2 linked regions of the Sus scrofa genome follow. The protein of the gene in region 1 interacts with the protein of each later gene in a biochemical or structural test. Links are inferred from orthologs where the notes say so. Each region holds a gene or a part of one and is shown on either strand. Other genes may lie near its edges.

Region 1 (3,737 bases):
CTGGGGGCCCCCCCAGCCCTTCCCCCTCCTCGCGAGCCTCACGTTGTTCTTGGCGTTGGGCCGCATGCCGATCGTGCCAAAGATCTCCTCGCCCGTCTTCACCGTCAGGTAGTCCTCCATGTAAAACACCGTCTGCTTCCAGTGCGTGTACGGGGACTCGGGGCCTGGGGGGCAGGCGGGTCAGCCGGGCACCCCCCCGACCCGGCCCCCAGCCCCCACCCCACCCCCTGTGCCTGCGGACGGAGCCGGGACCACAGTCTCTTCACCCTCGGCAAGCCTGGGGAGAGGGGCCGTTTCCTGGGCAGGTAATCTGGGGCCTCGGGGTCCCCCTGGCCGCTCTTTTTCTTCTCTTTGCCTTTTTTTTTGAATGGCCGCACCCGTGGATATGGAAGCTCCCAGGCTACAGCTGCCAGCAGACACCACAGCCACAGCAGCAATGTGGGATCCTTAACCCATGGAGGGGAGCCAGGGGTCGAACCTGCCTCCTCAACGACACTAGCTGGGTTCATAACCGCTGAGCCCAATGGGAACTCCTTTTTCATTTGTTAAATGGCCACACCCACAGCATATGGACGTTCCTGGGCCAGGGATTAAATCTGAGCCACGGTTGCTGTCACACTGGATCCTCCTAACCCACTGCACCAAGCTGGGGGTTGACCACGCGCCTCTGCAGCGACTCGAGCTGCTGCAGTCAGATCCTTCCCTCCCTTGCCACAGTGGGACCTGCCCCACCACCCCGCAGCGCCCGGGCCCCGCCTCACTGGTGGAGAAGCCGGTCCTCTTGTGGCAGCGGGTGAACTCGATGTTGAAGTAGGCCACCAGCGCGTGCACGTAGTCGTTCCGCTTCACTTGCAGGCAGAAGGGGGACGTGAAGGTCAGGTCCTCCACTTTGACTGTGTAGATGTCAACCTCCTGTGGGATGAGCCTCGTGAGCCCCAGTCCCGCAGCTCCAGCCCAGGGGCCTGCCGAAAGACCTGGGGGGCCCTGTTGGGTCCCCTGCTCCCCTCTCCCCCAACCCCCTGATCTGACCCTCCGACTTCCTGGAGCCACGCTGCTCCCTGGAGAGCTGTCTGCTGACACAGCTCCACTGCCCCAGCCACCATCCCCTCTCCCCGGCAGCGGCATCTTAGCAGGGTTCCCTGCCACTCCCCCCACACGGACCCCTGATTCCAGTGTGACAATTTAAAAACAGCAGCAACCAGATCCACGTCAAAGCCCTAGTTACAACTCTTGACTGCGCCCCAGTACACTCGGCACCGAACCAGGTCACAGAGGCTCTCCTGGTCAGGGCATCTGCCACCACCCCTGCTTCCCTCTGCAAACTCCCTCCTCCTCCACCCAGTTCTGCCTGCCTCATGCATCCCTGCAAGATGTGATGCTGGGGTGGGGGGACCTCAAAAAAGGATAGCTGCCAGTATTCTTTATCAGGGACCCAAGTGTGTATAAACTTGCTGGTGGCCCTGGGCTTCCTGCATTTGGTGGCCCTGCCTGGGGTCTCTGCTGCCTGCCTGGGGGAGGGGGGGTGCCCAGGGGGGCAGGGCTAGCCCCTCTCACCACCCCATTCTGGAACCCAAGGGCCATGCCTGGCTCACAAAGGTTTTTAAATGAAGTGGCTTCTCCAAGTGTCTAGTGCCATCTGCAGTGGACACAACAGGCTCCTGAGGCCTCAGGCAAGCAAGCACTCTGGGCCCTGATGTCCCCATCCACGGGCCAGGTTCCGACCCTTCAGGACACTCGGCCACCACCAGCCACCCCCCCCGACCCCGCACCTTTATGAGGCAGGCGTTGGTAACCAGCTGCTTGGGGTCCACCACATCCACCAGGGGCTCCTTGATGGCCACGTCTTTGATGCAGGACATGTCAAAGCCGTACACGTTCTCCCACCCTGGGGAGGAGGCCAGGAGGAAGGGTGAGCCCTGGGGGTGCGGGGCCTGAGCCCGCCCCATCCCGCCAGCTCTGCGGGCCCCGAGCTCACAGTGGATCTTGTAGTCTTTGTACTGCCGGTCTTCGATGGCCGTCACGTACAGCGTGGCTCGGTCTGGGAAGATGAGGCCGTCGGGCGCCTGCGGAGGAGCCGGGAAGGGACCGGTGACAGGGGCTCGGAGACGCTGCCCCTGAACCCTGCCTGCCTGATCCCTTTATCCAGGCCCCCTGCCCCGCCCTGGACTCCCGAGGCGGCGGCCCCTCACTGGTTCCCAGCCATTCACCAACTCCCGGGAGGGCTGCCTGATGGCTCCCAAGAGCATCTAAGTCAGACCCCGTACTCCAGAGGTCCTGAGGGCTCCCCAGAAGCTTCCCTGGCTCCCTGGAGGAGGAAAGCAGGGCCTCCCAGGTGTGGAGGCCCCTCCCACTCCTCCAACGTCTCCTCCCAATGCTCCCCCAGAGCCTCACTGCTCCCCCAGAGCCTCACCGCGCTGCAGCTTCCCCGTTGCTCAAGCCGCAGCCAGCGCACTGCCACCCCAGGGCCGGTGCCCTGGCAGACATCCCCTGTCCAGTGCACTCTCCTCCTCAGATCCTAGGGAGCGCCTTCCTATCCTCCCTTCACACCTGGCACCTCCCCTGGGACCACAGGCACTCCCCCCACCCCTCTTCCTGGCCCTAACCTCCTGCTGGCACGGTACCACCCCGCCGCCCCAGGGCCCGGCTCCTCTGCGCCATCGCCCCCCGCCTCCCGGGGCTGCGGGCCCGGGGCTCCCACCCGCCCGGCTGGCCGGGGGCCTCACCAGCCACTTGTCGCGGGCGTAGAGCACGGTGTTGAGCATGGACTCGTAGAAGAGGCAGTAGCCCATCCACTCGCTGATGACGATGTCCACCTTGTCCACCGGCAGCTCCACCTCCTCCACCTTTCCCTTGATGATGGTCACCACTGCGGGCCACACAGCGCTCGTGCCGCCGCCCCGAGGAGCCCCGGCGCGGGGGGGGGGGGGTCCCCCGCCCCGGGGGACAGGGCCTGGAGTCCCCCCTCAGGGGCTGCCCTTGGTTTCTCAAGGAAGGGGGCTGGGGGCTGGACTGGGGGCAGCCGTCATCGGGCTCTGCGAGCTGAAGCCACACCCCAGCCACTTGGTTCTAAAATTGGTTCCGCACGAGGGCTCTTTCGGGGGCGGCAGCAGAGACTGTGTGTGGATCAGGGATTAGGTGATGGAAGGTTTTGCCATTCATAGCCATGGTCGCGTGTTTTTGCAGGTTTTTGTTTTGTCTTTTTGCCCTTTCTTGGGCCACTCCTGCAGCACATGGAGGTTCCCAGGCTAGGGGTTGAATTGGAGCTGTAGCCATCGGCCTACACCACAGCCACAGCAATGTGGGATCCGAGCCGCGTCTGTGACCTACACCACAGCTCAAGGCAATGCTGGACCCTTAACCCACTGAGCAAGGCCAGGGATGGAACCTGTAACCTCATGGTTCCTAGTCAGATTCATTAACCACTGAGCCACGACGGGAACTCCGTGTTTTTGTAGTTTTAAAAACATTGCCGAAGTATAGTGGGTTTATAGTGTCGTATTAATTTCTGGGGTACAGCAAAGGGATTTAGTTATACACATACATAGTCCTGTTCTTTTCCAGGTCCCCTCTCCTTATGGTTTCTCACAGGATATCACACACGGCTCTCTGCAGGACCTTGCTGTTTATCCAGCCTGTATATAATCGTTTGGTCATGTTGTTTATTTATTTATTTGGCTGCACCAGAGGTATGAGGAAGTTCCCGGGCCAGGCATCAAACCTGAGCCACAGCAGTTGCC
Region 2 (4,245 bases), on another chromosome or scaffold:
AAAACCGAGGAATACAGGACCAAACTTAACAGCTTTCCTACCAGAGAAGTGTGGCACGGAGGCCCACAGGTTTTGTTAAAGTCATTGTGAATAAAATAGCCCCTACGCGCCATCACAGGCATTGAATCCCCTTCCTCGCATCCCCAAATCTAAGACCTCCCTCTTTTGGAGCGCTGATTGGACGAACAGCCTGAGCGCTTTCCAGAGGCTGCTCGCCTACTGGCTCCCGATTTGGTCCATCCACCTAACCGCCCAACTCCCGCATCCCCCATTGGAGTCAAATCGTGGCCTCTTGGAGGAGCCCAACCTACCGCGCGCTTCGTGCTCATTGGCTCAGTGAGATGCTGCTCAGGAGGAGAAAGCCCGCCTCCCACATACCGATGGCCCAAGGACCGATGAGTCGGCAGCTAAGGACAGCCCCAATTGGCCTATACACTCGCCAGTCAAACTCTTCCGCTGCAAAGCTCCACAGAACCTACGGGGATAAAACATCCCGCCCCCGTTCTTCCATTGGTTGGCCGATCTCACCGCTCCCCCTTCACGAGCCCCCACCCCGAGGTCCATTCATTTCACACAATAACGGGCCCAGTTGGAGTCAGTTCAAGACCTCGTATGGGTAGGCAAGATGGTCCGCCACTTACCGGGGGTCGAGACCGATCACTCACGCTAACGCCTCGCCTGTTCCTCTGTGGTGCGGCCGGACCACAAGCCACCGCCGCCGCCGCCTTCTGCGCAACGCCAACCGCCCGCCAAAACGGATCCTTCCCTGCGCCTGCGCGACCAATCCTGGGACCCGACCCTTTCCCCGCCCATTACGCCTGCGCAAAAGGGGGCACAACTCCCGCCACTACGCAGGCGCCTTAGGTTCGCCGCTGTCTCCTGCCCGCCATTTCACGTGTTGCAAGCTCCGGGCGGAACTTCTTAGCGCGCCTGCGTAAACTCGCCATTTTACTACACATGCGCTCAGCAGGCGATCTTGCCCCCGCCCCCGTTCCGCCAAATTGTCACATGCTAGCTACTTTTTTGATACATAGTATTAAAAATGCTTTGACACAGGCGTTGAATATTCCGGACATAGCTAATTAAAAAGTTATCTCAATACCCGAAATAATTCAAATATGAATCATTGGTTGACCAGCCAATCAGTCTAGTTAAGAATAATATTACTTAGGAACCAATGGACCGGGAGGGGTTGAGACTGCGTAGAACGCCCAAACGGATGACGTTACACAGCAACGCATACGAGAGACCAATAGTGGGGGAAAGCTATGTCAAATATCCAATCAGAGCTACTCAGGGGCGGAGTCTACCAATGCCGAACGCGAGGAGGCGGGATAAAAAAGCGAGGCCGAAGGTAGGCTGGCAGACTCGTTCGTTAGATTACTCCTTTCTGCCCCCGGACGCCGCCGAGTAAGCATCGTTGTAACCTCCTCCCCACTACCGTCATGTCTAAGTCAGAGGTGAGTGAGACTCTTTTTTCATCTGCGTTTTCTTCTTCGCCGCTTGCTGAGTTTGGTAGGGTGCAGTCTGGTTTGGCTGCTTGCACCAGCCTTTTCGGCAGTTCTTCGGTCGCTGCCGGGGCCTACCCCTCCCTGAGTTCAGGTCGCCATTTTGTCCTCGTCGCCATGAGGCTGTCGTCGTGCAATCCTTGGTTATCACGCTGCTCTCGTTCTTTTTTGCAATGCTCGTGGACACATTCGGTCTGTTTTTCATCCTTGTCCTAGTGGACGACTTTCTTAAAGAGTAGCTGTAGTCCAATTTTGGCGATGCACGCCCTCCCAGTCCTTTTGTTGCGCGTGCGTCGTAGGGAGAGTAAGGGGCGCATGCGCTCGCCGCTTCCCAGCCCCCAACATACCGCCTCCCCAGATGGGGAGAAGCACGTGGCTTACAGCGACCCGAGGGAACAATAAAAGCTTCGTACGTTGCTACCTGGTGTTGCTTCTTGTAGCGGGGAGCTTGTTTGCGTTATAGCCCTATTTAACGCTTTTTTTGCCCCTACTTCTAGTCTCCCAAAGAGCCCGAACAGCTGCGGAAGCTCTTCATCGGAGGTTTGAGCTTTGAAACAACCGATGAGAGTCTGAGGAGCCATTTTGAGCAATGGGGAACGCTCACAGACTGTGTGGTAAGACTTGGAAGAGACAAAAGGCCTTAGAGCTAGTTGTTTTTCTTGGCTTATCTCGCTGTCGTTGCTGTTTGAATGCTTATGAAGATTCCTATTGACTTTATAGCTTACTTGACAAAGGAAGGTGTGGCTTCATAGCTGAAAAGCTCCCAATTGTTAGGTTTAAGGGGTGGGGGCGGTGGTCATTGAAGAGCTTCGTTTAGAGGGTTGGTAGAAAGTTTTCCATTGCCTTAGTCAAGGTAGAAAAGGCTGTAACTTCTGGTGTCTTACCATGTGCTAAATAAACATTAAAGGTAATGAGGGACCCAAACACCAAGCGCTCCAGAGGTTTCGGGTTTGTCACGTATGCCACTGTGGAGGAGGTGGATGCAGCCATGAATGCAAGGCCGCACAAGGTGGATGGAAGAGTTGTGGAACCAAAGAGGGCCGTCTCAAGAGAAGTAAGTGATGTTTTTCTTGTGTTTCATCGACTGGAAATGTTCGATTAGCAGGATTCACTCACATTAAGGGGATGTAACAGACTTAGTATTAACATGGTCTTAGGATTGTTACTATTTTCTCCCCCTTTAGGATTCTCAAAGACCTGGTGCCCACTTAACTGTGAAAAAGATTTTTGTTGGTGGCATTAAAGAAGACACTGAAGAACATCACCTAAGAGATTATTTTGAACAGTATGGGAAAATCGAAGTGATTGAAATCATGACGGACAGGGGCAGTGGCAAAAAGAGAGGTTTTGCTTTTGTAACTTTTGATGACCATGACTCCGTAGACAAGATTGTCAGTAAGTAGCAGGTGGTTGGCATTCGCTAAGAGTTCTGAAATCCATTTGTGTCCTAAACTCTGAGATGGTGTCTTACTTTCAAATTTTTCAGTTCAGAAATACCACACTGTGAATGGCCACAACTGTGAAGTGAGGAAAGCCCTATCCAAGCAAGAGATGGCTAGTGCTTCATCCAGCCAAAGAGGTGAGTTTGTTGCTTAATTAAACCTTAAGCATCATTTTGAATGATTTTAACCGGTACAATTTAACGTTAACATTTTTTTCTTCAGGTCGAAGTGGTTCTGGAAACTTTGGTGGTGGTCGTGGAGGTGGTTTTGGTGGAAATGACAACTTTGGTCGTGGGGGAAACTTTAGTGGTCGAGGTATGTATGGTTTTTTATTATTTTAACGCTTCTTAGAATTTAGGCTTAGAAGGGTGTGATTTGTATGCGATCCACATACTTCAAACCTGGCTTTTAAATTCTGTTCCAGGTGGCTTTGGTGGCAGTCGTGGTGGTGGTGGATATGGTGGCAGTGGGGATGGCTATAATGGATTTGGTAATGACGGTAAGTTTTTTTGTTTTTACTGTTAAAATTTTGTGTGTGCGTGTGTGGGTTTTTTTAGTTCGTTTTGTTGTTGGATTTTTTTGTTTTTTAAGAAACTACAGGTAAAAAGTTTGACTACTTTTAGAATAGGCTAGTAGATACTAAAACTTTAGTGCATGATAAGTTCAAGTTTGACTCTTACAGCATGTTGTGAGCCGGCCTTTAGCCATCATGCTTGCACAGAATTTGAATGTTGAATACTTGTGTCTTATTGAGAAGAATTGTATTCTTGTAGGTGGTTATGGAGGAGGCGGCCCTGGTTACTCTGGAGGAAGCAGAGGCTATGGAAGTGGTGGACAGGGTTATGGAAACCAGGGCAGTGGCTATGGCGGGAGTGGCAGCTATGACAGCTATAACAACGGAGGAGGCGGAGGCGGCTTTGGCGGTGGTAGTGGTAGGTATCCAGTGATCCAAGTACTTGGTGCAAATAGCTAGCTTAGCCATATGGGAACTTGATGCTCTCTAGGCATAATGTGTTTTACTGCATGGTACTTTCTTTTAATGGGCTTGCAATGCTACCTCCTCCTAGCTTTAAGCTGGGGCCGCCTCACTCCCAAATAGATTAAGGGGGATAGTGGTGCCTACAGTTAATCGGGATTAGGTTAGCTTTTATTTAGGCACTTAGTTGATGTATCCAGCATGTGTTTGCGGTGCCCCTGGATGGGTAACAACAGCCTTCGAGGCTAGAGACTATACTACTTGCTCTACCATGGTGAGTCAGGGGTAAATTTCTAGCTACTGGATTATTCAACTGAAT

Evidence for each region.
Region 2: of the proteins of PRMT1 (region 1) and HNRNPA1, one has a biochemical effect on the other in vitro, tested with the Homo sapiens proteins (3 studies listed by BioGRID, with this or other methods). The link is inferred for Sus scrofa from reciprocal best matches to the Homo sapiens genes PRMT1 and HNRNPA1.

What each region holds. Positions count from the first base shown.
Region 1 is NC_010448.4:54,725,268-54,729,004, reverse strand, and holds part of PRMT1 (protein arginine N-methyltransferase 1), read right to left. Parts: intron 2,867-3,737; coding exon 2,724-2,866; intron 2,064-2,723; coding exon 1,976-2,063; intron 1,886-1,975; coding exon 1,770-1,885; intron 913-1,769; coding exon 762-912; exon of another isoform or gene 165-761; coding exon 43-164; intron 1-42. UniProt on the Homo sapiens protein: Arginine methyltransferase that methylates (mono and asymmetric dimethylation) the guanidino nitrogens of arginyl residues present in proteins such as ESR1, histone H2, H3 and H4, FMR1, ILF3, HNRNPA1, HNRNPD, NFATC2IP, SUPT5H, TAF15, EWS, HABP4, SERBP1, RBM15, FOXO1, CHTOP, MAP3K5/ASK1, MICU1 and NPRL2.
Region 2 is NC_010447.5:19,483,732-19,487,976, forward strand, and holds the start of HNRNPA1 (heterogeneous nuclear ribonucleoprotein A1), read left to right. Parts: upstream 1-1,445; coding exon 1,446-1,460; intron 1,461-2,005; coding exon 2,006-2,122; intron 2,123-2,415; coding exon 2,416-2,562; intron 2,563-2,692; coding exon 2,693-2,903; intron 2,904-2,994; coding exon 2,995-3,087; intron 3,088-3,172; coding exon 3,173-3,265; intron 3,266-3,374; coding exon 3,375-3,449; intron 3,450-3,723; coding exon of another isoform or gene 3,724-3,882; intron 3,883-4,245. UniProt on the Homo sapiens protein: Involved in the packaging of pre-mRNA into hnRNP particles, transport of poly(A) mRNA from the nucleus to the cytoplasm and modulation of splice site selection.